Linked DNA regions of Oreochromis niloticus. The protein of the gene in region 3 interacts with the protein of the main gene of each other region in a pairwise test. Links are inferred from orthologs where the notes say so. Each region holds a gene or a part of one and is shown on either strand. Other genes may lie near its edges.

Region 1 (7,870 bases), on a different chromosome or scaffold from region 3:
TTTATGGTCCTTATCTAGCCGGTGCTTTGCAAGAAATATTACCAGTAGTTTCTTATTATGCGCCATTCAATTAGTTCAGCCTTAGCATTTACTGAATAAAATATGTTAATGAGTTCTGATGGTTTGTGGCTTGTTTTAGATGATTAGAGAGACTGTTTTCTAACAATAGTAAGTCACTTAAGGCTAAAGAACAAGTCTAAGTGTGATGGCTGGCCTAACTCTAACAATCACCTGCAGCATAGCTTCACTATCATGTCTTCCTCTTCTTCTTTGGCGCAGTGTAGTTAGTGGTGCGATGCTCCTTCCTGTCATATTTATCATGGCCTTCCCTGGGGACATAATGAAGCATGGATTGATAATTCATCAGACTAAATACTTTATATTCATGCTGCTTAACAGTAGGGCAGCAGCTTGCCTGCAATTTATCTGGGTCATGGTATGCATTCCAAATCACAGAGATCTTGTTTTTTTGTGTGCAGTCAAGGCTTCCATGCAAAAGTCAACCATGAGTCTAAAGCTAGGCTTTTTTCTTTCTTTCTATAATTAATGCATTTCATACTACCTGAAGCAGCGGTTACAGTACAGATCTCCATCACAGGTGTGACATCGAAGGCTGGCATCTTGGTTACAGATGCAGCACCATGGAAGCTCTTCTTCATCACTGTCTGATTGCTGATGTGCATCAGCAGCAGGTAGGTTCCTGTTCTTAGGTGCCGGAGGTGGAGCCTTTACAATAAAATCAGATCTGGATTTAAATTTTATGCACTCACGTAGCTTTAAAAAAATAAAAAATTCAAGTGTGGTTTTGTACCGGTTTCTTGGACGATTTTTTCTTTTCCCTATTCCTTGGGCCACTCTGTTCTAAAGGTATGTTGTAGCCACTGGCCTCATCTAGTACAGTTTCTTCTGAGAGCTGAAAGAATACAAGAAAAAATAAGAAGTGATTAAATTGGCAAAATAGCAGCCCCTTGTGGCTAGGCACACTGGTCTGAATTAGTTCACTCATGCCTTTAGGGGTGTAAGATGTATGCAGGAACAAATTATTTATAGTTCATTATCATCTGATGGTTATTTTTGCCACACCTGTTTTAACACTCTCATAACAGCTTCTTCTTCAGTCTCCTCTTCACTGTCAGGTTGCTGGAAGTCCTCCATAGTAACTATAAATGAATCACAATGAAAATGGGGCATGATACACTAGCATACTAGCACTTCTGTCATGGAAACTGCATTTACAACGCACGTCCTTATCGTATTTTATGACACACTAGTGTAAAACAGTGGATAACAGATAAGGTGAGGTGAATGGTGCTCGAATAACTCACCTTTGTCCGGGTCCTGCCCCTTCAGCTCTGCCAGCCTCTTTGCCATGTGGAGGATCTGATCCTGAGAGTGACGCTCTTTCCTCAGCTCCTCCATAGCTTCCTCGAGCAGATGGGCTTTCTCAGCCTCCAGCTGCTTGGCTGCATCCTGGTTCTCTTCCAAATTCTCATCCAGTGTACCTGCCTCACCTTTATTGAGATCATTCATACGGCCATCTACACCTTCAGATTTAATAACAGTGTTGTTCAGTACCGGTTTATTAATTTTACGATATAAGAATGAATGATATGACTGACTCATTACTTATTGGTTTAAGGCAGGTGAAATCAGGGAGAAATGCAATATCTTACTGCATTCAGGATTTGATTGCTGGTTGTCAATTGCAACTTCCTCTGTCATCTGACTTATCAAATCATTGGCTTGTTCAGTCTGGGTCCGGTTTTCTGGAGGCTGATGCACCTACAGACATGAATAGACAAGCATATATACTTGGAGTTAAGAGAAACTGTTTAGTATTGAGTTCCCTCTAAATAAATATTTGAAGCTATTGAGCTGTACTGTAAGGCCTAAGATGTTACAAACAAGCAGGAAGAGATTCAGCTCACAGGTCGAGGAGCTTGAGATGGTGGAGGGAGGCCCCGCAGAGTGGCCAGACGGTCCTCCATCTCTTCTGCAGAAGGTACTGGCTTGCTGGGAGCTTTCAGAGCAGCAAGTCGGGACTTGAGCTCTTTGTCAGAGGGGACAGACTCTGAAGAAAAGGCAAAAAGCTTACTCCTTACCTTATTTTGGAAAATATTATAATAATACTGCACTTGCTAGATTAAATAAAAATGAGAGCTGTTAAAAATCTTATTACTAGGTGCTGTGTCCTCCTTGAGCTTTTGAAGCCTTTCAGCAATCGCCTGATCTTCTTTGCTCAGGCCGCTGGTTAGTGGATGTCCTGCTTTGCTAGTCCTCACAGGCTGTGTCGGCTGTCCTTGCTGTTTGGCCTCAAGTGCAGCGACCCGTCTAATGGAAGACACGTGTACTTTAGATATTATGAAACTGCTGTGCTGCCAAAGTTTAAGTCATTCCCTTATTTGATCATATACACTGACTTTTTATAGTTTTCTGGAGGAGACCATCTGCCAGCACTGGTTGAAGATTGCCCACTAAAAAGAAAGAATTTTAAATAAGAGAGAAGCTCCAAAGCCAAAACAAAACTACTTTTAGTTTTTTTTTTCCTCCTTGCAGGGTTTGAGCGTTACCTGGTCAGATTACCATGGCACTGTTTGCAGACCTTCTGCTGGGTGTTGCCACAGCGAGGCACCACAGCACTGAAAGTCAAGCAGCTGGAGCAGAAGGAGCGGCCGCAGTTCTTACAGCCCAGCTATGACGAACAGTAAACAGATCACTTTATTCAAAATGTACCCCTATGTATGTCTATGTGGTTAGCATTAGCCGTGAAATACTCACCTCCTTCTTGAAGAGGCTAAACTTGGACGCACAACAATAACATCGACTGTCCATACCGACACGTGCAGAGGCTCATGGGTAGGGGAATGTTAATGCTATCGATACAGCTACAGTGGGTTAAAATGCCTAAGAAAACACACTCAGTCGTGAGCATTAATCTGGCAGCTAGCTACTAGCAACTATTTTCAGGTGTTCATTCAAAACAGGAAGCAACGCGGAAGCTGAGGTGTGACGTAATGCATACGCATCTTCCGGTTTTCCGAATCGTCCAATCAGAATACTGCAAAACCTCTGGCGGTCCTTGTTCAAAACACAGACACAACCGTTCAACAGGTTTACTGCGACAACGTTGGAGTTCCAGCTGTCACCTAGAAAAGAAATAAAGGAGGCTCGGAAGCGGTATAGAACACGCACGTTTTGTAGAAAGTCTATTTTAATTCAGCTAGGAAAATTTGTCGTCGATGGAAACATTGCTAAAGTTGGTCAGGCTAAAGCTATCGTTAGCTAGCTAGTGTGTTAGCTCCAAACGCATGCACTTCCTAACGTTAGCAGGAACGCAGGGAGAGTGTTGATAGCTGCATTAAACATCATTTTGTGTCTCTGTCACACGGTTTGTAATACGATGGCAGTTTACCACATCATTATTAAAAAATGTATTGTTGTCGAAGTGCATCGTTAGCTCATGTTGTCCTAAAACTTGTTCAGTATGCCTCTTGGTCACCATGCCATTTAGTTCGCACACAAAAGGACTAAGTAATAAACAATTATAATGACAGTAACTGTAATATATACTTTTATTACTTTTAGCTATACAGAGGTAATAATAAACTTTGTGTATATCATCAAAAAAGTTATTTAAAATTAAATACAACTACAACAAAAGTGCATCAAACGAAATAACAAGTAACAGACTTGACCAGTGAAAAATTAAATAATTTTAAGGCTAAATAAAAACTGAATGAAACTACATATTACTTAAAGCAAAGAAGTTATATGAAATTAAAACAAGGGCTGTGTGTAAAGAATATTCAGTCACACCTAGGCTTTGGAGGGGGCTGTTAAGTTTAAAGATTTCAACACATCCAGGTCCTCTGGCAGACTGTTCCAGCAGCTTGAGGCATAACACTGAAAAAGCTGCCTCCCCAGAGGTTTTTGTCTTGCACTTTGCAACAGCTAGAGGATTTAAATAAAAGGATTTTAAAGTCAATACAGAAACTGACAGGCACCCAGTGTTGGGACTTTGCAACAAGTGTGATGTGTCCTCTCCTTTTGGTCGTAGTAAGTCTGGCAGCAGATATCTGAATCAACTCAAGGAGATCTTAGGTAGATCAGATAGCAGAGCCTTAGAGTAGTCCTGCCTGCTATGTATATAAAACTGGTTTGTCAGAGTCACCAAGATAAAAGGTTGCATTCTAGCAATATTTTTGAGTTATAAAAAGGATGATTTAGTGGCACACCCAACGCCTCCCTCAAGTTACGATCTGAGTCAAGGCTTATCCAGGCAGACTTGGGGAAAAAAGAGAAACAACAGCATTGTGGTAGATTTTTAAAGCATAGATAAAACTCTGAAGGCCACCTCAGAAAATCTGAACACACTGATGATGTAGTAGTCTCAAAAATTCTTGTGTCAAATATGATACACTAGGCATTAAAGGGTTAAGTTTAATTTTTATTGTTCTATTGATTTGCCCATAAGATGATTTCTTATTAAAGTTAGATTACAGATTAGAAATGAAAAAAATAGGACGACTTAAAAAGCCCAAGCAACTGAATTAAATGTGTGTATACAGAGGGCGAAATAATGGCTTTGATCCAGGACTGATTCTGTGGGCACGTGTGCTTTATACACATAACGAGTTGAGATCAGGGTATCTGTAATTGATTGATTGTAATTTGTGTGCCACATGGGCACAAAGCCAATCAGTGGGAGCCAGACTTCTGGCTGTTTGTAGGGGATCAAGTACTTATTTAACTCAATAACAAATAACAAATCCATTTAAAACTTTGCAGTTTTTTTTTTTCTGGGGTTCTGGTTAATTCTTAATTACAAATTCAGCAGGGGATAAATATCAAATAATTAATTCTCCTGCTGTATGTATCTAGTTTCTGTTTCAGAAATGGCAGAAGGAGGAGATGTGGAATGGGAGCTCAGCAAAGAAAACATCCAGCCTTTGAGGCGGGGTAGAGCCATATCGGCCTTACATCAGGCGCTGAGTCAACAACAAGATGGACCCACCTCTGCAATCAACCAACAGAGACAGTATGGATGGCTATTTTAAACTTAAATTGTTGTACAATTTCTCCATGCATTTTTCATATGATGAAAAAAGACCTTGTGGATATTTATTTCTGCAGGGCATTTGAGTCTGAGTTGCGCACATACGAGGGCGATGATCCACTTAGTGTTTGGGATCGGTAAGGGAAATATGTCAATAGCCAAGTGTGCTCATAAGCATTGCTCTTAAATTTCCCTGTAATCCTAACACGGTTTTATTTTTCCAGGTATATTAAGTGGACAGAACAAACCTTCCCCCAGGGAGGAAAGGAGAGCAACCTTACCACACTGCTGGAACGAGTCGTGACCAGATTTACAGAGGAGAAACATTATCACAATGACCCCCGCTATGTTGACCTCTGGATCAAATTTGTGAGTGCAAAAGTATAACCTCTGACTATTTCTGTTACTTTGACAAACTAATGCTGCATTTATAACGTTTTATTACATGTCACCAGGCGAAGAACTGCCAAGAGCCTTTGGAAATTTACAGATACATGCAAGCACAAGGAATTGGAGTAACACAAGCTTCCCTCTACATCGCTTGGTCAGAGGAGTATGAGGATCAGGGCAACTTCCGCAAAGCAGACTTGGTCTACCAAGAGGGGTTCAGAAAGAGTGCTGAGCCACATGATAAACTCCTACAGTTTCACAAGTATGGAGTCTTCCAGTATAGTTTCTGATAAATGAATATCTCTGTTATGTTGTTACAGTGATCACATTTTTCTGTATTTATATTCGCAGGGCACTGCAGGCACGCGTTTCCCGGCAGGTGATGATGAATGTGGAGGAGGAAGACAGTGATGATGAGCCTAAGCAACTCGAGAGAGTTTCTCTAGCTGATCTGAAACACAGAGGGAAGAAAAAGGCTGTCGCCCCCGTCAACAGAACAGGGGCTGCGATCAGAAGTAAGCACATGAATATACAAATAAAATCTGTTTCAAAATACTACATCGATGATAACAGTGCTTTAAGACTGGGAAAAACATAATGGGTTTGTACTCAGGTATTCCCGGTGGCCTGAAGTCACAAGGCGCCCCTGTTCTTGGCAGTAACAGTCGGTTGGTCATCTTTGACGAGAATAAGGCTCAAAGCGCAGGCCCATCGGAGCCTAGATTGGAAGCTTGGGTGGCTCCTCCCACATCTAGGGCGAAGGAGAACGAGCAGAAGCTCGAGCGATGGTGTGATGTGAAGGTATGGGAGAACAGGCTCATTGTCGTGTGTGTTGAAAGCCATTATGCAAAGTTGATTCATAATTTTCTTTTTATGTCGTCATAGATGCCCCAGAAGTCCAAATTTGGGCATACTGTTATGGCTCCGCCGCCTCCCAAACTCACTTTCCAACCATTTGTGGAGGAGTCAGATCAGCCTCCTACAATGTGAGTTACTACAAATACCTTTATTTATTTATTCATTCACTTTTAATTTAAATCATTATTTTGACCGGGAAAAAAAGAACAGACGAAGAGACAACAGACAGAAATGCCTGAGTACCAAGATCTGTGGATGTATACACACATTTAATTGAAAAGCCCAAATAAACAAATAGAAAAAGTCTTCCTCTCTCATCTGAGTTGTCATATCATTCGCTTGTTCAGTCTAGGTGCAGTTTTCTGGAGGCACCTACAAACATGAATAGACAAACATAAATACTTTCAGTTAAGGGAAACTGTTTAGTATTGAGTTCCCTCTAAAAAGTATTTCTAGCATTCTTCACATTTTTAGTAGCATTTATCAGAAAAAGATCCAGTTTTTATCTGCCGTTTTATGTCATTGTTTTACCTGCTAAATATTATATTCATGTCACATGTTGATTAGTGTCTTCCTAACCCGAATGTAAGTGCATTGTTCTGTCCCTCCCTCAGGACTCCATGTAAGATCAACCCAGCAGTTAACACAGTTTTGTCAGCGCGTAAGCCGGGCAGAGAGGAGACTCCTCTCAAAAGGCTGCAGGACCATCAGCAGCAGCAGAAGGAGGCAGAATCGGGAAAACAACAGGAGCAGAGCATGTACTGTAAAGAGCTGCTGCTAAATGGTGCTGCTGAGTTCTGCTTTGAGGAGCTGCGAGCTGAACGGTTCTTCAAAAAGACGGCACAAGAATCAGAGGAAGGGCAGAAGGATGAAGCTGCAGCTGGTGCTGCAAACTGATGCTTCCAAATGGGATTTAGTTCCTTTTCTGAGTTTTTACCATTTTTGACTAGATCATGTAGTGACTGTTCATCATCCAGATGTAAATATTGTCATAGATTTCCAGTTACTCAGAAGGCTTTATAAACAAACAAAAAAGCTTTTTGGGGGGATACCCTGGGAGCTGAAGACACACTAAAAGGTGTATTGGATTCGTGCAAATACAGTGGTTGGACCAAATAATGGGAACCCCTGTACACTGTAATGTAATCTAGTAAAAATGCTACTAGCGTGAGAAAAAACATAGATGTAAATACATGTTGATACTGAACTGATGTGCATGCCTTAGCTACCAAGCGACTACTCAAATGTGTTCCTTTTTCACTCCTGCTTGCATCCATTGTTCTTAAGCAGTTTTTTTGTATGTATTCTGTTTTTGTTTTTTTCTTGCTCAGTATTTCTTGAGCAGATTTTTCTACTCTAATCCAACACAGTCAAAAATGGGTTTCAGTGAGACACTTCAGCTGGGCTTCATGCGCACACTTGAGTACATGCGCCTTTCAGGCCATGTAACATTGATGTCCAATAAACTTGATACAATAACCAAACCAATTACTGGTGGTTGTTAATTTCTCTTTTAGAAACCAAAGGGGGTTGTAGTAATGCACTGTCAGCAGGGGGCTTGCAAGG
Region 2 (7,077 bases), on a different chromosome or scaffold from region 3:
ATAAGTTAGCATTCACCATTCAAAAAGTTAACAGCAACTTGCTCAAAGACATTACAATGTACATACAACACTCCCAGCAACACCATCATACACAAATGGAAAAATCATTGATGAATACACTAAACAGCAACAGTCCTAATATGGAGCCCTGTGGCACCTCATAGTACAGGATTTCAGTGATGATATTTAGTTTAAATAAATCTTCCCCTGTCAGACCATCTCCTTTGGCATTCAGTCATTCATCACACCTTTCTCTACTTAAACAGGTCCTTTTTCCCCTTTTCCAGAGATTTGTTGCCCTCTCTGTCTCATCTATTCTCTTTTGTGTAGAATAACACATGAAGTGTTAACTGTAAAAAGATGAATGTTTTGTCTTTAAATAAAAAAAGTTTGACTTTTCCAAAACATGTTTCTGCAAATGCTTCACAATAAGAGAAATGAAAGCCTGTAAAAGTTTTCTGTTTGAGGTCCTCTTTGCAAGGGATCTTTCAAATAACATTTATTCTCTTTTCATCATCTCATTTACCCTAAACTATTTTCATGTGGCTCTTTTTTAAAGGTGCTTCACTGGTAGATATAAATCATACAAGTGGGAGATTCCTGCTTTGAAGTTCTTTCATTTTCACTTCAGTAACAGAGGTGGAGATCATCAAAACCACTAACATTTGACAAATTAGATTCCCAAAAAGAAAGAACAACAAAGTTTCACTTGTCTTCAACAATTCCAACTACTTCAGTTTTTTCTCTTTACTGGCTCTCTTGCATTAAAAGAGCTACTCTGGAAACAGCTGAACTTCAGCCAGATAAAGCTCCATGGAAATATTCCCTTTCTTCATCTAGAGGAAGAAAAATAAAAACACATGTGGTGGGACATCATCACACTGTAGTCAAAACAGTGGAAAACTTTACTTGAACGTCTGTACAACAAATACAAAAGACTGAGTTACCCTGAGAGTCAAGAGAAAAGCTGCTCTGGCTCCCATCATGTCAAAAATACATTAGAGAAGCCTCTTTCAATGTGGGGTTGTCAAGTTGAAAACGGACTAAACAGGTCAGATATTAAGTTCTAATTAGGTGGTCTTGGGGGTGCTTTGAAACCTTTGTCTGCTCACAGGTTTATTTTTAAAACTGTCAAAAAAAAAAAAAATCCTCGACTTTGCAGTTCAGCGAAGCTTGATGGAGCTATGTTTCCATGTGTACGAGTTTGTGTATGTACCTCTCCTTGAGGCGCTGCTACTGGACCATCGATTTGGCTCTGATTGGGGATGATGGGTCCATTGGCCTGTGCAGTCTGCTGCTGACCGAGTCCTTCGATTGTGACGTCCTCCAGTCCAGGAATGGAAGACAACTACACAGAGCACAATATTGCTCCATAAATATCAAGCAAATTGGCATGAAATTAAGATAATGTTGCACTGCAGCCTTCAGAGGCTTCAGAACTCACCTTGGCCTCCAAAATGCACAGGCTGGTTTCTATCTGCTGTATGCGAAGAGATATGTTTGCAAGTTTCTGTGGGAAGACGTTATACAACAGTTCAGGATTTAAGTGTTACAGAGATTTTTTGTTTCATGACGAGAGCAGAAGAAACAAAGATAAACAAACCTCTTCACACACTGTGGAAAAGCGGTTAAGGAAGCGGACTGTGTGTGCAACAAACTGATTGAGATAGGCAACAATTTTTCTCTGTTGGATCGCAGGAACCTGAAGGAAACACAGGAAAAGGAATTTAAGGTAGAAGGATCATAAGTGTAATATAACAAGGAAATGAAACAACTCCCAGTCCAATCTCCCCTTAAAGCAACTTCTCCTCCCTAGGCTGCATACGTTTCCCCTACTCCTTTTAGGTGTCGGCACAGCAGATCATTCACCTCCACTTCACCCTGCCCTGAAAATCACCCTCCTTCACTTCATCCATGAACCTCCTCTGTGGTCTTTCCCCTTTTCCTCCTGCCTGGCAGCTCCATGTTTAACACCCTTTGTCCAATATATCCCTCCTCTGCACATCCAAAACATGTCCGCCTTGTCTCCAGGTCCACCCTGATCACTCCCAATGAAAATCTGAACATCTTCATCTTTTTAACAACTTTAGTAGTGCTGTCTCCAAACGATATATATGCCATTTCATATTTTATTGTTATGTTTTGCTTTCTTTTTATGTTCTCATTTTCTGTCTTTTATGACCTTTTAACCAGTTTTTTGGTAAAGCATCTTGCTTTTAAATGTGATGCAAAAATATTTTTTTATTATTCTTGTGAAAAAAATATAATTAGAACAAGTTTAACATGCTGACAGTCATTCACAGGCAACTTCAAATGCTGAATGCAAAATATACCACTTATATTTCACAAGAGGAAAATAGCATTTTAGATTAGCTAATATTACCCAGAACGGTTAATAAAATAAAAAGCATCCCTTCCCGAAAAACAGTTATTTATACAAATGACAAACATTTTCACTTCATAGATTTATTTTAAACAAAACTGTTTTAAAAAGATAAGCGTAAGTATATCTCTTTGCAAAGGTTAAATCTGTTACCCTGGAAGATCAAGTGTAGAAACAACATATATTCACTTCAAAACAAAATCACACATTTATCAGGGAAATTGAACTACAAGAGCTTGTGACAGTCATATCTGTTAATGACTTACAAGCTATAGGCTTCTATCACCGATAAACAGCCTTTGTGTTATCTTACTTTTTAAACAAAACATATGTCAAGCAGCTCTGCTTGTGCCTGCTTTCATTTCCTCACCAGCTACTCAAATAGCTATGTTAGCTAACTAGTCAACGCCAACCTTGGTAAGGTCGACTCCAGAGCCCACGATGGGCAGCCCGTCCTCGTCCATGTTGGATCGCTGAAGATTAAAGTGCACTTTCAAATTCAGCAGCAAGAAATTTCACCGCAAAAACGACCGAAAACGGGTTATTAAAACATTTGCATATGTGAAACGGTTCACGTGACTCTGGGCTGCGTGATCACGTCCTGACGTCATCAACTGCGTAGCACAAGGCTGCCTTTTATTTCGAAGTCGTGCTTCAAAAACCCTCGAGCCTGTATTTTTTTTAACCCTGTATTTTTTCTTGTACCCCGCTTTATCTGAATTATATGCACTAATATATGACTTCAACCGCCATGTTTGTATTTTTCTGTAAATTGTTTGTGTTAAATAAAGTTAAGAGGTGGTGGTGGGTTGGGTGTTACTTCAAAGTAAAAGTTGAACTCTTGCTCCATTCGGTGCTACTTGTAATTTAGCCATAAAAATACTATTGTTGTATATAATTTGCATTTATTTATTTATTTATTTATAGGTTTTTGAAAACAAAAATAATGAACAGATGATAGGAGGCAAGCAAAACAATGAACTCAAACAATGAGGTCTTCATTATCAAATAATGTTCATGCTTTTTAAATTTAAAAAACATCTCAGTTAAAAGAATACTTGGAGTTATATTGTTGCTAATTTTAATTCTTTAAATCTTGCTTTGTTGGATAGGAGATATATTTACTTTATTACAATCTACTGTTATTTTTTACATGGACATGAATATCGTGGTACTGATTGCCAAGAACAAGGGTGATGTGTGTAATTACTGAGGGATAAGGCTGATGTGCCAAACCGTGACGCTATGAGAAGGAATTCTTCAAGCTAGGTTAAGAAGAGAGGTGACGATCAGTAAGCAGCAGTATAGCTCCATGCTGGGAAAAATATGCAGATGCAATGTTTACTTTGAGAGGGACTTAATTTTAATTGATGTAACAATGGAAACACAAAATTTTTAGGATTTTTAGGATTAGGAAAGTCTGTCCTATCTTGTCTTCCAACTAAAAACAAAACTGTAAGAAATTAATGTCAGCGAGACAAGTCGCCTGTCAACTTTGTTACTTTTATTTTGAAAAGCGGAAGCGGAGTGTAAGCGTTGAGGAAACGGTGCTTGCGTAAGAACAGCGCATGTTAGCTGCTAACTAAAACAATACAACTCAACACCTAATTTTCGACGCCACGAGAGGCGCAGTGCATCCATGGAGGTTCTCGACTCTGCAGAGAAAACAAGCGGTGGGTACAGTGGCAATCTGAACCAGCTGCGATATAAAGTAAGCTTTGTCTATGCCAGTTACACAGTTAGCGGGTGCCGTCTATTTAAAGGAATCGTGATATGCACACGCTGTCAAACTTAAGCTTTAGCATAAAAAAATCAATCAATTATTTTCTGATTTTTTTATTATTCTGTCAAGTATTATGCTTAATGTATTATCTAAACCATAGCTGGTGATATATTTGAAGAATCGAAATTTAAAACTCCTTTTATTAAGGGTTGTCCAGCAGTTATTCGGGTTCCCAAGCTTGTGGCTGTTTAAATACAGGGCAAAAAATACATATGTGTCATTGCTTTACCTAAGAAAATTATTGTCTTAGTAATATATGAGCAGCACTGAATTAAATGAATAACATATATGTATTGTTATAATGTGAGTTCTGGAGTTTAAAGCTGATTGCTGCCCTCTAAAGACCATTTGTTACATTACACCTTTATGTTTTAGATCCAAGCCTGTCTCTCTCATCCCTCCAACTCCTGGTGCCACCTCTGCAGCTTCTGTCTGCCTCCATGTGGCAGCTGGTGAAGCAGAAAGATGTGATGAGCTACCAGAAGCTGCAGGAGTTCGTGTTCACAGTGACAGAGGCGATTCCTGGTCTGATCAGCCACAGGCAGAGAGCCCAGCTCATCCTCGGACTCAGAGCGAGGGTGAGGAGGTAGTCTGGCTGGCATGCCATCCATGTATGTTTATTTTGCTGCATTGCTTCTGTAAAAACTCAGTTTATTGATATTTCAGTTGATACTGGAGCTTTGCAAAGGCTCGACACGTGGTTCTGTTGATTCTCAAGCAATCCAGAGCCATTTGGACAGACTACCAGTAACCTCTGAAAACACAGATGTAAGTACGTTAAAGAGAAGCGGATAAAATAAAGTGTGCCCAGTACCTTTTTCAACATATCACTTTAATTTGTTGCAGTATAGAGATGCAGAGGTGAAAACAACAGAGTCTACTTTTGTCGCTCTGGTTCAAAGTCTGCTGAAAGATCCAATTGAGAGGGCATATTTTTTTCAGGTAGGACATATTTTAGTATTTCATATCTTTGCTTGAAAATGCTCAGAATAAAAATAACATCTAATTATCTTACAGGAAGTGTTTCCAGTGGAATACGGTCCACAGTATGACTCAGCACTAAATATGTTATTATGGGATCTGCTCTCCAAGCTGGAAAAGTTGCTTCCAGTACCAGACCTAAAGCAGGTATTCAGTCAGATAACATAAGTGTTTCAGGTGATTTTCAGCAGGTTATATTAACACCGTGCTGTGATTACAGACTGTAGCCTGGCTGGACTCAGCTCCTTCTGTTTTGGAGGAATGCATTCAGCTGTCAACTGAAGATCTGAGCTTTATCTACCAGCACTACAAAAGTTCAGGACTACTGAAAATGGCATGTAAGTAGAGCTGCAGCAGTTTTCACAATCAACAAAACTATGAAGCAAGATGTTGCATCATTATAGTTGGGTTAAAAAGTCAGATTTAAAGTTGCATAATTAGTTCTCACTTCTTAATATTTCAAGATCAGTGGATAAATTCATAGCAACAGGTTTGTAGTGTCATAGTAATACACTTTATCAGAACTTTCTGAGATATAATGCTTATCTTAATCAGGCCCTGTGATATATTAAAGACCTAATAGTATCATATTAACCTAATGAGGTTTTTGCCCTCTCTCTGCGGGCTTACTTATGGTTCCTAGAGTTTTTAGAGGTAGAACAGGAGGTAGAACCTTCGGCTATTAAGCCCCTCTTCTGTGGAACCAGCTCCCGGTTTGGATTCTGGAGACAGACACCCCCTCTTCTTTTAAGATTAGGCCTAAAACTTTCCTTTTTGATAAAACTTATAGTTAGAGCTGGATCAGGTGACTCTGAATCCTCCCTTAGGCCTTGATTTTACTCTGTTATGGACAGGAACAGCTAAAGCACCAACAGCCGAGCAGTCATTCCTGTTTTACTTATTAAAAGCCCACTTGAAGTCCACCTGGTATGCATGTACAGTTGGTGCATTTCAATATAATTTCCCGCAGAAAAGTCAGCACACTCCCAAAAACTAGGCAGGCATGCAGACATCTCCATGTGACCCTCAGGATCACTATTTGATGACCAGATTATGTCAAATAGACCCTAGTGGACTGATTGTGATGCAATAGGCTTAGACTGGTTTGCTTTCTGTCCTGCTTTCCTCCGTTCACCCCCAACTGTGACAGAAGTGACAGCACCTCCCTCAGCCTGGTTCTGCGGGATTTTCATCTTGTTAAACACATTTTTTTTTCTTCCAAAGTCCTCATAGGTGGTTTCATGATTGTCAGTTTTCTTTCTAATATTGGAGGGTTTTTCAATCACAATATAAAGCACCTTGAGGCGACTGAATTGGCGTTATATGAATAAAATTGAATTGAATTATCTAACCTCTAAACACCCACCAAATCTCCAGCAAACCATTTGGGGTTAGGTGATGTTTCACTCACATGCTAAACAAGCAAATTTCCAGAAACTAGAATTTGTTATTTTTCAAATGAAGTCTCCTTCGTACATTTTGGCCTTGCAGTTATTCATTGATGGGATTTTCCATTTGGTTTTTCCAAACAGGGAAAATTCCACGAAGAGAGGTGAATATTAACTCAACCTTAACTCAAAGTGGGATACGGGTGACCTGATGGCTGTTAAGTGACAAAGCTATTTTAGTGACATTTCCTAATGTAATAAATTATATTTTTAATCTTATTTAATTTTATTTTAATATTTTTTTATGCCAAAAGAAATTTTAAAAAAAACGCAATTTGTATAAACAAAACTACATTTATTTAATCCTCTTTTTGTTTGCCATGTTTAAGTGAATTGTGTATTACAGTATGTTAACATAATTTTGACACCAAAATATAGAGGTGCTTGTGACTTCCTAATGCTTTTATCAGCAAACTTTAAATTACAGTTCCTGAGATTATACCTAGGTGACCTCTCAGGTTCAATGTTTTGAAGAGAAGGTT
Region 3 (7,748 bases):
TCTTTATTATGTACAAAAATGGCCCTTTCTTCTCATTAGGATATCTCAGATATTACATGTGTAGTTAAATGTATATACACAGAAAGAAAGGTGTGTTTCACTAGTCCAGCTTACTCAATGTGGTCTGTGATGTATATTCAGTTTGACATTTCTTACCTTACGTGGTCCGCAAACATCCTTAGAGAAAACACAAAATCATAGGCATCTGCTGGTTTCACATTGGACTGCTGCTGATCACCAGATGTTTTAAACACAGTTTTGTATCATGTTTTGCTATGTAAATTTAGAAAGAAAGAAAAAAACCACTCACCTTTTTCACCATTTTCTCTTCTTGGAGGGCGAGTATCTCATTCACAGAGTTAAGCCTGACTGTCAAAAGCTCTGCAGTTGTCTGAAGAGCAGCTTTCTCTTTGTTCAGCCTCTGCAAAATGGACAAGATTAAATTACACACAATTAGAGTTAATTATATAATTTGTACATTAACTCATTCATATTTTACTGTTCTTCCTTTACCCTAGTGAAAAGAACATTTGAAAGTCCCATGCAGTTACTTTGCAGTATGCTCATTACGATCAATACTGTTTATATTGCCTCTACCTCAACAGCTTCATTTAATCGTTCCCTCTCTCCTTTCTCTGGTGCAAGCTGGCCGATGTAATTTCTGAGGCTTTGCAATGTAGCAGACTGTGTCTCAAAAGCTTGTCCCATTTGGCTGAAAAATAAACAACAACATGCCCCCCACCACACACACACAAAACAGTGACTACAGAGTGCTTTAAATGCTTTAGTTCTGTTCCGATTTAGATTGAATGAAGCACCTTAAATGTTCTTTTAGTCCATTTCTCTCAGTAGATACTTCCATCAGAGTGTTCTTTAGCTGCAGCAGTTCTGAGGTCACTGACTGAAGTCGGTCCTGTAGTTCACCATTTGTTTTTTGTGCTGCATCCAACTCTGCATGATGGGATGCATTCAACTGTTGCAGCTGAAAATTAGGAAAGTTTAAGACACAGACAAATAGGGACATAATGACTTATTCATCTTCAATTACACATTCTCGCATTACTTGCAAAGTCAGAGTGAAAGGAACTGCTCAGAGTTCTGCTTAGAGATACTTAGTGGTTGTTGCATTAAGGCCCTTAATCCTAAAGGAGGTCACCCAAGTACAATGTTTATGATCAGTTAAACACACCTCCACCTCCTTGTTGTTCTGAAATTCCTCTAGTTGCTCTAATAGTCTGAGAGTCTGTTGTTTGGCTTCCTCTTCAGCCTGCAACCTGCCCATTTCAACCTTCAAAGCAAGCTCCCGGGATTCTTCTTTGCTCCTTTCAGCATCTCTCCTCAGCCTTGTAATTTCCTCATCAGACTCTGCTTTCAGTCTTTCAAGCTGTGAGAAAAAACAGACATATTACAAACAGAAAAAGCAGACTTTATTAACCTTATTATTGTGAAACGTGTTAAATTAAAGGTGACTAAAAGGTTTTATTGGGATCACAAAACTGTACAAAAACAAATTTAACTGCAAACTGCCAAAATAAGTTAGAAAATGCCAGTAACTCTCAGGTGATGTATGTCTACAAGAGTGTCGAAATGAAATGTTTTGTCAGTAAACATCATTACCTGTGAGCTTATTTTTTCCTTCTGTGCGCTGCAGAAACTGAGCTCCTCTCTGATTTGGCTGAGTTCAGACTTAGCCTTGGATAGATCCGTATGTATTGCTTCCATCTCATGGCTGTGTCTGTTGTGCAAAGGTTATTCCAAGTTAAGCTTGTTCAAAACCATTATTTGCTGACCTCCATAATGTGAGGTTACATACTAAATGTGCGGAGATGTCACATAATGACACAAGCACATCTCTTACCTGCTAAGGGTGTTGTCTTTGTCTCTGACCTCTTCCCTGCATCTTTCTGCAATCTCCTTTAGTGCCTCCACCTGCCCCTTTAACCTCTCTGCTTCAGCCTTGTGCTTTTCTGCCTCCAGTCGCCACTCTGATTCCCATCGAGACCAATTATCTCCTCTGTCTTTTGATCTGCATAAAAGGAAAGAGACCACATTAATATGTCCATATTGCCACCCAAGTGACAGACCATATAAAACATGTAGTGGATATACCTGGCTCTACAATCTGAACGATAATCAGGGGTCCTTATGCTGTCTCCTTGTAGCATCAAGATCCTCTGATTTTCCTTCCTCAGCTCCAAGATTTCCTGTTGGGCCTGATTGATGGCAAGCCATGGATTGGCAGGACTTGGTTCCCCTGATGATGGTACTGATATCATGCCTTGGTTTATCCAGGAGATGGGTGGCTGTGTCGCCGGCATTTGAACACATCTGTTTGTTCCAGCAGAATGGGCACTTGATGCAAAATGCGATGGCGGTATGAGGTCCTCCGGAGTCTCCCCTTCATAAAATAAAACAGTGTCTATGTGTTTGCATGCATTAGCTACTCTAATCCAATATAAGGTTCCCCATGTTCGCAAACAAGCCTTTGTTATGCTAAGTTCACTAAAGATAAACATGGCAGCTTCCTGAAGAATAAAATCACTTTTACTTGTTAAACATGAGTTAATGTAAGCGCCAAGTGGGCTGCACTGTAAGCTAACATTTGCTAATTAACAGTTTATTTAGCTCAACCTTTACAAGAATTTAGGAGCAACTTACTCGGAAGTGCTGGTGAGGTGAAATCAGTGGGCACTATCAGCCTCTCCTTCCCTAAAGTTTGTCTCTCCATGTTGAATAACTATTGCCACCACACAGGAAGGAAACAGTACACGACTGCTGTGGTGCGTTTAGCGTTTGTTCTCCCGCGAGTCACGTCATTCTTCACCGTTGCCTTAGTTACGGGTACAACAGCAACATTCAGAGCTCTCGGTTTGGGCAATTTTTGGTCGTATCAGTCGTTATTTTCCGTTCAAATAACCCACATGTTAAAGTTTCGATGTATCATATATCTATGCATATGAAATTCAACAAATTAAATGGTTTATTTAAGCATAACTGTTACATACTGAAACGCCAAAGTGCATCATGGGAAATTGGAAGGAGCGTAAAAATGTATTTGGGTTTTCATTTCCCTAATTATAGTCTCGCAGGAGTTCTTATTTCACGTAAACTGCCTTTAAATATCCCCTAAATCGTAACCCTGCATTGCCGCCTGTTTGTATGCGTTTCAGTGCAGCGTTTGCAGCGTCTACTGGAAGAGCTCTCCTGATAGACCAAATTCAGGGCGTAATCCTGAAATGATAGCACCATCTGTGGGTGGAGCACAGAAGGTATTCTGTGATGGGTAGCATATGTTGAGAAGAGGGGGCACTGAGGACTAAATTAACTGTCCTTCTGGGCAAATTTAAATTCGAAAATATTTTATTTAGATGAAAACAGACACTAGTTAGAAAAACATAGTAAATGTAAAAATTATGAAAACAATATGATATATGAGCTTTCCTGTCCCTTTGTGCAGAAACCACAAGTTTCAACAATAAGAAACACACATTATCATATTTATTATAGGAGAAATATTTATAAGTTAAATAAATCATTAGTCTGTGTCATTCCATTCTTTTGGAGGTGGTTACGTGAGCCATTTATATTCAGGCATTATCTAGATGTAAAGGGATATCATTTAGATAATTAGTGGTAAAGGGTCTCATGTAAATGCACTTAATGAGGTGATAACCTAAAATTACAACATTCCTTCTTTGCCTGGGACTCCCTCACCTCAAGAACACCCAGGGGTGTCTGACAGCCACATCATTTCTGCATAATATAGCCGGCCTTGCAGAAAAGGGCACTCTGAGCAGGTTCATAAGTGCAGGTCTGAATAGCAATTGGTGATCATTTGGTTACGTAACAGAATTTTTGGGGGTTGAGGGGCGTCTATAAATATTTTACCCACAACTGTAAAATCATTAGTATCCTTATATAATTCAGATGAAGCACTTGCAAATTTTTGTAGATTACTCATGAGTTACTTTCCTCCAGTGATGCACATTTTGCACACACAACATTTGTGATTTAAATCCACAAACTGTACACATGTGGCCACCTCCAGATAAAATCCTGTCTAATATTATCTATCTAACAGTCATGATAACCAGCATATTTCACGTATCCCGTTGTATTATTTTCCCCGGGTGTCTGCAGCAAACATTTGTATTTGCTGTTTCCTACAGTATATCCTGTTTTCTGTTGCTGCTATGACCCACTTTCCCCCTGGGGTTCATTAAAGTTTTATATCATCTATTTATGGCATTTTTGAGCAACACAGAGACCTTTTAGGTTGATTCATTTCCATAAATGATCACAAATAAATGCAAGATGATATGGTACATCACCGAGAAAGACAGGGAATGTCAGTACAACATGATAGTGTTCATCTTGTATAATATCCTTAATGTGGTGAAGGGGTGGATAGGGGAGTCCAGCAGGAGTGATGTGCATTGTTTGGACATGCCGATATTGTATCTTCTTACCACAAGGCGGGCACTGCAGCATAGGTCCTGAGGAACATCGCAGAGGGGAAGATGGATTGAGAAGGGCAAAGGGAATCAAAAAAGAAAGACAATACTCACCTTTATCAAAAAGCAAAAGGGAGAGAGAGAATTAGTATGTAAGCTTTGTTTCTATAATCAAGGTGAGCATTGACCACCTGCAGAGCATCAAACACGTAGTACATGAAAGCTATAAAGGACATTTTGATAAAGGCAGGCAGCAAATTGATCTGGGTCCAGACTAAAATGTTCCTTGTTTGGCTCTAGCAGGGCTCTTGAAGCAATGGTGAAGAGGTCTGCTTTTTGTTCACTCTTCAGTTCTGTTAGGTAAACTGTAGAACAAGCAGAACCTACAGAGAACCCCATTTCAACCACAGCACTGAGCCAACTCTCCAACCTCTGCAGACTTGCTTTTCTGATTAGAGCCCTCGCTCTTCAGTTTGAATTCAGCCGTTGTTCATATGGATCATTCAGATAACCATGTTTGTTTTTATTATATCAGAGTGTCACATGAATCCCATACTGGTCTATAATTTTCCCAGTATTTTAGATTTTAAACTGACCGACCCAAATTTTTGGTTAAAATGCTCAGATCTCCATTTGTGAAAAACTGGTTCCTCATTAGTCAGGGCATTTCATACTTTTACCCTCCCAGGTGGATGTGTCTGTCTGCTTCAGTGACAGTGACCTGTTTTTCTTACCACAAGGGCATTGCCAGCTGTGTACATACAGATACTGTCAGGTCAGCATTTCTCTGCCTTTTCTGAAAGCAACTTAAGCAGGACCATTCCTAACCCATCTGGCAGCCTTACAAATCTTACGCAGGAGCTGACAGATGAGTGTGTGACCCAGACCTGGAACCACAGGGTCAGGCAACACTGATTAAAAAGAAGATGTGGGTCTATCAGGCCAGCTGTAGGATGACTTCAGGCTAGAGAGGTCACTAAGAAATGACCTGGTAGATTTATTTCTGGCTTTTTTTGACTGAGTTAGGCAAATAACGCTAAAATTGAATAAATGGCGACTGTTAGATTTACAATGTTTTTGTCCTTTGATAACCAATAGTACTCTGCTCATGTGGTCAGATGAATTTGAAACTCGTTGTAATAAACAGGTATTGTTCCCTGCATGGGAACCAACATATATGCAAAATATTTTCATTTCTTTAAAAAGCTTTCATTTGCAACCCAGCTTGAAGCACACTACACTGGGCAGCATCTCTCTCCAAGAAGTCTAGAAATGATCCCTCAGCTGTGCATCATAGCTGTGACCACTGGGCATTATTAAAAAAAAAAAAAAAAAAAAAAAGGATATGTGGGGGAATATGTCTGCCCTGTCAGCAACTGCCCAGACTTTGCCTCATAACTCATCTGTATCGTTGGGACAGATTCTAGTGTGATGTTCATATTTTTAGATTTAGTTTAACCACTGAATGCAACAAAAGCATAAGCCCAATTCCCCACATACAGGTGCTTAAACAGAAAGTCAGCAAGCTAGAGAAAAACAAAAAACAATTACTGGAATGATCTGGGTTTTTTGGAAGATATATTTTTCCACCTTACCTGTCATAGACTAGTTTCCTAGCACCTGTGGTCATTTTGACTCACAGCATTTAACTATAGTGGGTCTTTTTTTCTTTTTTGGGGGGGGGGTTTGTTTGTTTTTTGCATATTCAGTCTGATTGTTTAAAAAGTGTAGATCTAGTACGAATAAGATTTTTTTAATGACTCTGCTACGAGGGGTGATCAGGTCTAACATGTGCTGCAAAGCATGGGATAACACTGGAGGGTGGTTTGCAAAATTTTCTATTTTGCCGTTGTTGTCACAATTTGCTAAAAAGGCTTTTGCCAATGCAAATGTGTCTGATCTCTCTCTCTCTCTCTCTCTCTCTCTCCGTGCAGGCCTGCTCACTTTACTTTTTGATTTGGTCAGTCGTAGATGGGTTTTACCTCTGCACGAAACGTGTGCGCCCATGAGTGCAGTCCGAGGTTAAGGTGCTTAGTTAATGGTTTCTAAATTGGGATTCAGTCGGGTTTTTTGGATGGTGAATTTAATGCACCGGCGTATCCCGGTGGTTGCCTAGTAACGCGCTGGCAGTGGGCGCCGTAGAGAGATCTCTATGGTGGGCGCTCCATTAAAACCGTTGGCGCTCCTGACCTTGGCGTCGTGAATGCGCAAAGCACACAGACTGTGCGAAGCAGGAGATAAGAGTGAAGATCTGCGCGTTTGATACCGAAACCGGAGAAATATTCCACTCACACTCACACACACGCACGAAACATATTGTTTTATGTAACTGACGGGCATAGTATGGAGGAAATCTCGAGATGGAGCGCGTCTTAGCTTGTGAATAAGCAGGTGAGTTAACCTAATGATTCTGATATTTTTTAATGCTTTTTTTTTCTTCTCTCCATGAGATGAATCTTTGTTCAGATTGATCACTGACATCTGGGTTGACTGTGTTCTTTAAAGCGATTGCTTAGCGATTTGCCACAGTGGCTCTTTTCTGTGCTCGGTGTTTTATTTTCCCCATTTTATCCAATATTACACCGTCCTAGACCTAGATTAAACAAGCTTCCCAGTCACAACGTGAGGCGCGCGCGCACACACACACAAACACACACACACACACACTACAGCAGTTTGTCGATGCTACGTGGGCTGTGGCTTGGTTTTCTCTCTGGGTCTGCATCCTTGCATTAATTTATAAAGCAGTGATCATTATGTTTGAGTGCTACCTACACCTTCCGCGGAGGATATCCCCCCCCTACACCAATCCCTGCTCCTCTTTATTGCCTTGCAAAATTAGGGGGATTTGGGAAATCCACTGAAACGGGTTTGATCCACACCAGTCGAATTACAAGGGCATTGGGAGCTCGGTAGCCCACTGTTGTCTGACACAGGCTCCTTCTCCAATCTTTTCATGTCAGGGGGGGCCCCGGGCTACCAAGATCCAGTCGATAAGATGTTGTTGAGATTTTTTTATTAGTGGTGAATTGGAGTTGATATGTGTGCCTGTCAATGATGTAGGTGTAGAGATAGTAATGGTGGGAGTGGAACATGATTACAGCAATCATTCTAATAGGTCTGTAACTAGGATCAAGTCAGTCAAATGGGAATTGAAGTATTTTGGCCTCAGGGAAGCTAGGTATTCACTTAAACCACCTCTGTGGCGCACCCACATGTGTGTGTGCATAGTGCAAACAAGCCTGTTAGAGTAAAACATTATGGTTGTAAAACAGTTTCTTTTCTTTTTTTTCT
Region 4 (7,401 bases), on a different chromosome or scaffold from region 3:
GTTGTAGTAAGTGTGGAGAGCAGATGTAGTAAAGAGGCTGCTGCTTGAAACGCTTTACTTTTTATACAAAGTGCATGCGTGTGGAAACAACTGTCATACTATCATTTCTACAGTGCTCGGGTATTGGTTATACTCAGGTGGAACAGTTACAGTATCAGGTTCCACATGAGTCATGCTGGGGAAATATTTGATAACTGATTCTGGTTGATACACTCATAGAAAACGACTCTACTTTTAGATCTGGTTCAGAATTTGGGTTTCTTCAGCAAAAATCTAAATAGTAAAGATCTTTCTGTCTACCTATTATTAAAAATCGAATGTGTTACTGCAACAATCTGTAACAATCTGTTACTACAGCGAAAGCATCAGAAGTTTCTTTTTCTCATGTATCAATACAAAAGACACTCTTCATATTTCCAACATGTTTCCTTGTGCACACAACACATCATTCACCTGTAATCATCAACCTGTGCATCAAAATGTATTAATATACCAATAAAGAAAATACAATAAAATATAAAACCGACACGTGTCTCAAGACTGGCTAACATATTTTAGTCAGTACTTCAAAACTGAGTGACTTGTGCTTGATTTTGTCTTTAAATATGTCTCTGGGAATAAAGGAGAGACAAATCACCCAAAAATGAACGCTAAAATGTTGTTTATTTGATTATGATGATGTTGATTATGTAAGCATGCATGGCTTTGTCATTACTGCTAAATATACTTCATATCAGCCACAATAAACAAGAACACAACATACAGTATATGCATACATCACCTCTGCTCTGCTGACAAACATGCAAACCCACAAACCTGCTGTAATACAATATGATGCTGCTCTCTGCAGGCAGTCACTCATTACTACAGCTAAGTGCACTCTCGATAAACATGTTAGTGTTTTTAAACGATGAACGAAGAATTTCAAGTTTTACAAACAGTATAATGTTTAATTTTTATGATTTTTCTGATTACTTAGATTTGTATTAATCTCATTACATAATAATAATGTAATATAAAATAAATTAGTTGGATGAACTTGCACTGATTAACTTTTGTGAGTTTACCCGGATTGGACGTGGCAGTTAGTAGTGAATCAGGATTGGTTTAATGAGATAAATGTTTCTGAGGAAGACACAGGAAGGTGAGTCCCATAGTAACAACAAGAAATATAAACAGAGGTTGTCTTGGGTGTCCAGTGGTACAACTACTTGACTTTGGTTTAATACAACTAACAAATATTACTGGAAAGGTGGATTCAAAAACTGAACATGCTGTTTCAGATTCTCTCCCTTCAAGACATCTCTCTCCTGATTGGCCGGCTCCTGCAAACAGAAGCTTGAATAGTAGGTGGGTGTGGCTTCTGAGTCTGGGCCACTGAGTCTGGGCCTGAGATGAGCAGATTATTAATACCCTCTCAATGATGTCATACAGAAGCAAGAGAAGAAAAAACTGTCTCAAACTGAGTATTTTATCTCCAACATACCATTGTATCTGGTATTTGCAAAACAACAAAAAAAACAAACAGAACAAGCCTAACTCTGCTTAGACTTCATTAATTAAGAGGCACAGCTTCATCAGAGCAATCCTGTGGCTGTATTGAGACATCGCTACAATGCTAGTGTGCCCCCTCAAATATGTACATGTGATGATTTAAAAAGTTCACTAAAAGAAACATTTGCCTGGGTTACTACCCCTTCTTTCAACCCTCCCTCTCTGGGTCATTCACCTGGAGGACTCCTGCTGTCTGTAGATGTCGATAATGTTCTCCACCAGCAGGTTCCTCTGGAGGCCATAGACTCCATGGCGGTCGAGCACCACCTCATGGCGGCACGACGGACAGCGAAAGCGACCGCCACTGGCCGTCGCACTGGAGGAACCACGGGAATGCCACAGAGGATTAGCTGACTGGATTTAAGAGGGGGGGAAAAAACAAACAACAAACTGCTTCAGACTGCTTCACTGGTGGATTTCTGTTTGGTTGCACATATGAACCCAGTATCAGTGAAGAGAGAGGAAGACTCTGCTTTGACTTTTATTAAACTGAAGAATCGGTAGCCAGATGGCAATAAATGTGACCCACATCTGCAGTTTTCCACAGGCCACATTTGGCCTCGACTGACGGTGCTGACTCACCCTGAGTCAGCACCGTCAGTCGAGGCCTCAGCTCAGCCACAGATCCACTTTCCATGAGCCAGATGTTAGGTGTGCCGTGACATCTGGCCATTTAACTGCAATGTTTTGTGCCCCTAAATTAGATTTTTTAGGTCGAAATAAAAATATATTTGCATATAAGAAAGAAAAAATATATATCTATAAGAAAGAAAATATTTTTACATTAGAAAAAGCCTCTGAGATAAGGTTGTTGGTGTTGATAAATGACTAAATGTGATTTCTAAATTTCAAAAGCGTGTTTAATATACAGATACTATCTGCTAACATGGGAGTGGACTAGGACAAAATAAATACTGTCTGTTTGGGTTTTCACTCGATCACATTGTAGCTGTGAATCTAAGGTCACTGCAGACTCTGAGGATGTGTAGATAAAGGGGAACTCCAACTAAAACCTTTAAAACTAACAGTGTAATCTCTGAATACTGAAAAACCCCGAAGGCTTCTTCTTCTTTTCTTTCAGTCTCACCTGGAAGATGTCATTGGCACACTTGCGGCAGAGGTTGTGCTGACAGGGCAGGATGACCACAGGTTTGGAGAACATCTCCAGGCAGACGGGACAGATCAGCTGCTTTTCCAGATTCTCCATGGTGGCTCCGCTTCCAGCACCGGGCCCAGAGCTGCCTGCTGTCGGGTGCTTAAAGCCGAGAGCAAAGCTCATCACCTCCGGCAGTGAGGAAGATGTCAAAGACGTCAGGAAGCTCTGCCCTTCTACTCTCAAATGGCTGTAAAGTTAGTTGGTTTTAGTATTTTCCACTTAGCTGTTACGCCATTTCTAACCACAGTTGTCCATGTCCACCGCTTTATGCCACAGCCAGCTTGCCTAAAGCCCAAGTAAAGACCCTCCCACACACCTCAGGCCCACAGCAGCCAGCCTGTCCCTCTGTTGGTATTTTTAGCTCCTCAGTTTGTTCTGGCTTGGGTTACTGTCTAAACTGCGTTCCTGAAAGTCTGGGCGTGGCAGGGGATCACAGCAGGGTTCGGTATCTGGGTTCAAATTATTCTATTTTTATGAAGTCTGATACTTCAGAGGGGATCCTGGTGACATAATGCAACCTGTGACAGCAAAGTTTCAGGTGATTAGCATGCTGGCATAAACAGCTTGAAGCATTACTCAACTTAGATGTCTGTTTGTTCCTGCAGAACACGCCGAGTGCGCAACATCTCTGTTCATCCAACTTTCTGACTAATCTCACCAGGAGATTAGTCAGAAAGGTGGAGTATTTGTTGTGCTGTATGTTTCCAACAAGCCTTCTTCTTATTTGGAGCAAAGCAAAGTGTGTACTCGGGTGAAAATATTGTTTAATCAAAGATATTTAATATTAAAACCTCTAAAAACAAACTTCAGTCAACAAAGCTTTGCTAAATAATGAGCCGGGTACAAGTCAACACATTTAAAGCATTTTCTTTTCCACGGCTGATTTAAGTTTCTTGGCGACATTCAATTCAGTAAGAAGTCAACATCTTTTTAAAAAAATCTTACCAAAATGGTTCAACTGTTAAAAGAAATCCTAATAAAGTTAAAATTTTAGTTTGGTTCTTTGCTTTTTTATATTAATTTTCCACTCTACTAAATATATAAATGTAAGGTGTGCGACTGAGTCATCAAGCATGAGAAGCAGAAGAAGAAAAAAGCTGAACAGAATCGCTGGCCAAGCAGCTCCAAACAAACAACAGCTCACAGGACATTTAAACTCCAATATAAATACAGAAATATCAGTCAGAGAATAGATAACTGACTCAAGAGCACCATCTACTGTTTAACCTCAGCACCCTCAGTCTCAGGAGAAAGCATTTATTGAATATCTGTGTCAAATGTGCAAGAAAACCTCAGATTATATCACATTTATACAGTAGCTTGGGCATCAAAGGATGGGACAGCTGAGGAATTTCTTTTTGGGGCTTAAACTTAACAAACTATAACTATGATGCAACTACAACAACATCATATTATGGACCACTCAAGTCATTTTAACTAATATGAGGGCAAAATGTGATCAGACAAATCAAGTAATGTGTTGTGATTATTAATATTTAATACTAAAGACGTGAAGTTTATCTATGCAGTCATGTTAAAGAGCAGAGGAAAGCTGACTACTGGCCTAAAATTAAGAATAGTAAAGTCTATAAATGTATGAAGCAGTCTGAATCTGTATTTCACTGTATGCTGCACATTGAGGCAGGACATGTTCTTTTTGTCACTGTAGCTATGAATTAACTGTTGTACAATCACTTTTATGCTAGGCTCTGACCTGGTAAACTATAATTGATTACTCATGCAGAACCTAAGCCTGATCTCGTCCACAATGTGACCCAGAGACCCCTTTGTGGCCTTCAACCTGTCAGCATACAGCAGTGAGGTCTGTTCCCAGGGACAGACAAAAAAACAAAAACAAAACCCTGAAGTATTTGCTAATCAACAGAATGGAGTTGGCAGGACTAAGCTGCTAATGGGCTAACAGGACTATTAATAGTCCGGAGCGGAGGGCTGCTGCAGAGTGAGCCAAACATACAAACACAGGGATTCAAGCTGAAGACCTCCGTGTTACCGTTCTGTGATTACCTTCCTGTCAACAAACTTTTCATTAATTAAAAAGAAAACCCATCCTGCACCCTTAAGAGCACCAAATACAACTGGGCTCTCATTCATTTGTCATATAAGCTTTGCTTTAGTGTTTATAAATGTGATCATGGTTGTCAACACCAGCACCACCACACATGTTTTTCTCTTGGTACTGTTTGCAGTTGTTTCATATTGATGGCTCTGATGACAATGAATTACTCTTTATTATTCACTAATGGTTCAATTACTTCTTTTTTCTGTATTTTCAATTATCACCATTTTTTGCAGTATTATTTTAAATTTACTGCATCGGGAAGAGCCTGAAAAACAAAACAAAACACCACCACCACCACCACAACAACAAAAAGCCAATATAACTTAACACAGATCATGAAGCGAGCCTCTGTGGCGACCCCTTGTGGCCAGGGAGCAAGCTGAAAGTAGCTTTATGCATCTTATTTTCTTAAGTGGTGCTAAAAAACTAAAAGTGTAACCCTTGACATAATTTCCTAAACAAGCACAAACATAAGACAAAGTTACACACTAGAAGTTATAAAATCCTGTTGTTTTATTTGGTTTCTATAATAAGTTTTACATGTTCGTCCACAGAGAACCACAACAGTCAGCTCTCCTATTTATCAATCCCCAGTTTCATCCAAAAATGTCTTTCTCCAATTCTTCTATATTTGTTGACTTTCTTTTACATTTCTTCTTCTTCTTAATAAAGATGAATGCAACATTTTTTTTCAACCACTCAGCTTATCCACAAAAAGAAATTAGCTCAGCGCTAATTGTTTTTAGCATATGCCAGTGGTTGTATTACCAAACAGTGCATGCTGACATGTTAGCGTCAAACATTCAAGTAAGCAATTCTGTTAAATCCTTTCATAAAAGATGTCGCCTAATAGTAAGAATTAAAAAAAAAAACAAAAAAACATTTTGCTGTTTTATGGTGTTGCTTATAACACTTAAAAAAAACCAAAAAAACGAAACAGTATGACTGAGTGCTCCATCATCATGTTTAAACTCTAATGATGTAGCGTTAAATAAAAATGAAGTGCTCTGTTTCACTTTTGGATATTATTATGGATTAAAAACAACTATGACATGAAATCAAATGACCTTCAAGTCTGCAGACGGTTTCCCTCAGAAACAAGCTGATATGTAAATAAAGAGCAGATATGAAGTGACTGGTAAAAATTTATCAAAGCTGGTTTGTTTTTTCACAATATGGTCGTACACGTAGCTCTGCATTCATTTATTATAACACACCGAGTAATACAGAAGAGTTTTAGAAGCCGAATTTAGATGTGACTATAGTTTTGGCCAGCACAGAGATATAAAACCTTTAGAGCAAAATTTATGTTAAAAAAACTAAACAAAAAAAACACAACAACAAATTGCATTAGTATTCTACACAGGACTATAACGCTCCACATGACAACAACTGAACAGCTTCCACGTGATGTCAGTAAACAATGTTTGAGGTTTGAAAACGTTAAAACAATCTAAAAATAACATGGAAGCAAAATATCATTTTTTTATTTAAATTAGAGACTAAGCAGTAAAAAAGCCAAGTATTAGTAACATCAAAAAAAATAAGAGGACATATAGGAGTCATTGCTAAAAAAAAAAAAAAAAAAAAAAAAAAAAAAAAAAAGACCTTAAATGAGGTTAGTGGGATTTTTTTTGCTTTATCTTCTTTTTCCTTTCTTTTGTAGAGAGGGGAAAATAAACAAAAACAAAATAAACTTACAGAAAAATAATATTGGTATGTGAATTTAAATTCTGTTTCGACTCACAATTTCAAATTTTTACATCTCCATTTTAAAATATGCACTACTAAAGAAAGAGTTGAACATTTTGGGAAATGCATTTAGTGTTTCATCAATACCATTTTAAAACACTAACAAAATTAAGCCAGTGAAGGGCCTTAACACGTCATTCATTTAGTGGCCAACAGGGGGCAGCAACTCTGGTTTCACAACTGTATAGATGTCTAAAGGAAATGGCTCTACGCTCTTTTAATCTGTGAGAGTTTACAGATTAAACACGTGGCCTCGATCGCTAGTTCCACACATTAATTATGGGTCCAGTTTGTAAGTGGTGACCTCGTTAACAAAACAGAAGCTGTTTTACTTTGTAATTGACAAGTAGCTAACCTATGATTGTGCAATGTCCTTGGTTTTTTAGTCAGACCCACCCCTCATTCATCATGCACAGTTTCAAATCATAAAAATGGCAAAAACAGATAAACCCCTCGGCTCAAGCCTTCATTAACCCAAAGGTTGACACTGAGGTGGCGACGCCCATCTTTTATTTACAGTCTGTTGGCAAAAAGCATTGAAGCAAATACATTTATGAAACAGATTTCCCAAAATGTTGAACTACTTCTTTAAAAAAAAAAAAAAAAAAAAAAAAAGGTTTCTTTGTCATTTCAGAAGACGCCCAAAGCCATCTATTCATCCATCCATGGAGATGTAGCAGAATAATGCTTAACATGATGTGTTCTGAGTACACTTATGACGCAACCCATTGTATTTTTGAGCTTTTTGTTGAAGTAAATTGCTTATTTATTGGGCTTCATCTGCCTTCCATTACAGCTTTTGAGTCAAGGAAGAAAATCAGTTTCAGACAAGTCAATAAATCAGTGCAAAGTGGATGAT

Evidence for each region.
Region 1: the proteins of cchcr1 (region 3) and zfyve19 interact in binary tests that used the Homo sapiens proteins (3 or more experiments, as listed by UniProt). The link is inferred for Oreochromis niloticus from reciprocal best matches to the Homo sapiens genes CCHCR1 and ZFYVE19.
Region 2: the proteins of cchcr1 (region 3) and washc3 interact in binary tests that used the Homo sapiens proteins (3 or more experiments, as listed by UniProt). The link is inferred for Oreochromis niloticus from reciprocal best matches to the Homo sapiens genes CCHCR1 and WASHC3.
Region 4: the proteins of cchcr1 (region 3) and trim54 interact in binary tests that used the Homo sapiens proteins (3 or more experiments, as listed by UniProt). The link is inferred for Oreochromis niloticus from reciprocal best matches to the Homo sapiens genes CCHCR1 and TRIM54.

What each region holds. Positions count from the first base shown.
Region 1 is NC_031983.2:8,750,094-8,757,963, reverse strand, and holds the start of zfyve19 (abscission/NoCut checkpoint regulator), read right to left. Parts: upstream 3,014-7,870; 5' UTR 2,833-3,013; coding exon 2,779-2,832; intron 2,693-2,778; coding exon 2,571-2,692; intron 2,475-2,570; coding exon 2,421-2,474; intron 2,332-2,420; coding exon 2,180-2,331; intron 2,072-2,179; coding exon 1,929-2,071; intron 1,783-1,928; coding exon 1,674-1,782; intron 1,545-1,673; coding exon 1,326-1,544; intron 1,161-1,325; coding exon 1,084-1,160; intron 914-1,083; coding exon 812-913; intron 727-811; coding exon 563-726; intron 330-562; coding exon 251-329; 3' UTR 232-250; exon of another isoform or gene 1-231. Other genes in the region: bub1bb (mitotic checkpoint serine/threonine-protein kinase BUB1 beta), read left to right, coding at 4,896-5,038, 5,134-5,193, 5,281-5,425, 5,512-5,708, 5,798-5,961, 6,060-6,247, 6,332-6,432, 6,919-7,201. UniProt on the Homo sapiens protein: Key regulator of abscission step in cytokinesis: part of the cytokinesis checkpoint, a process required to delay abscission to prevent both premature resolution of intercellular chromosome bridges and accumulation of DNA damage.
Region 2 is NC_031981.2:14,035,752-14,042,828, reverse strand, and holds the start of washc3 (WASH complex subunit 3), read right to left. Parts: upstream 3,007-7,077; 5' UTR 2,848-3,006; coding exon 2,797-2,847; intron 1,703-2,796; coding exon 1,604-1,702; intron 1,511-1,603; coding exon 1,445-1,510; intron 1,349-1,444; coding exon 1,217-1,348; intron 1-1,216. Other genes in the region: zinc finger protein 184, read left to right, coding at 4,023-4,056, 4,542-4,744, 4,833-4,934, 5,013-5,108, 5,184-5,294, 5,368-5,485. UniProt on the Homo sapiens protein: Acts as a component of the WASH core complex that functions as a nucleation-promoting factor (NPF) at the surface of endosomes, where it recruits and activates the Arp2/3 complex to induce actin polymerization, playing a key role in the fission of tubules that serve as transport intermediates during endosome sorting.
Region 3 is NC_031975.2:10,915,527-10,923,274, forward strand, and holds the start of cchcr1 (coiled-coil alpha-helical rod protein 1), read right to left. Parts: upstream 3,007-7,748; 5' UTR 2,729-3,006; coding exon 2,659-2,728; intron 2,399-2,658; coding exon 2,110-2,398; intron 2,027-2,109; coding exon 1,859-2,026; intron 1,736-1,858; coding exon 1,618-1,735; intron 1,385-1,617; coding exon 1,190-1,384; intron 983-1,189; coding exon 819-982; intron 713-818; coding exon 598-712; intron 422-597; coding exon 311-421; intron 178-310; coding exon 157-177; intron 1-156. UniProt on the Homo sapiens protein: May be a regulator of keratinocyte proliferation or differentiation.
Region 4 is NC_031980.2:21,569,161-21,576,561, forward strand, and holds the start of trim54 (tripartite motif-containing protein 54), read right to left. Parts: upstream 3,021-7,401; 5' UTR 2,834-3,020; coding exon 2,642-2,833; intron 1,909-2,641; coding exon 1,730-1,908; intron 1-1,729. UniProt on the Homo sapiens protein: May bind and stabilize microtubules during myotubes formation.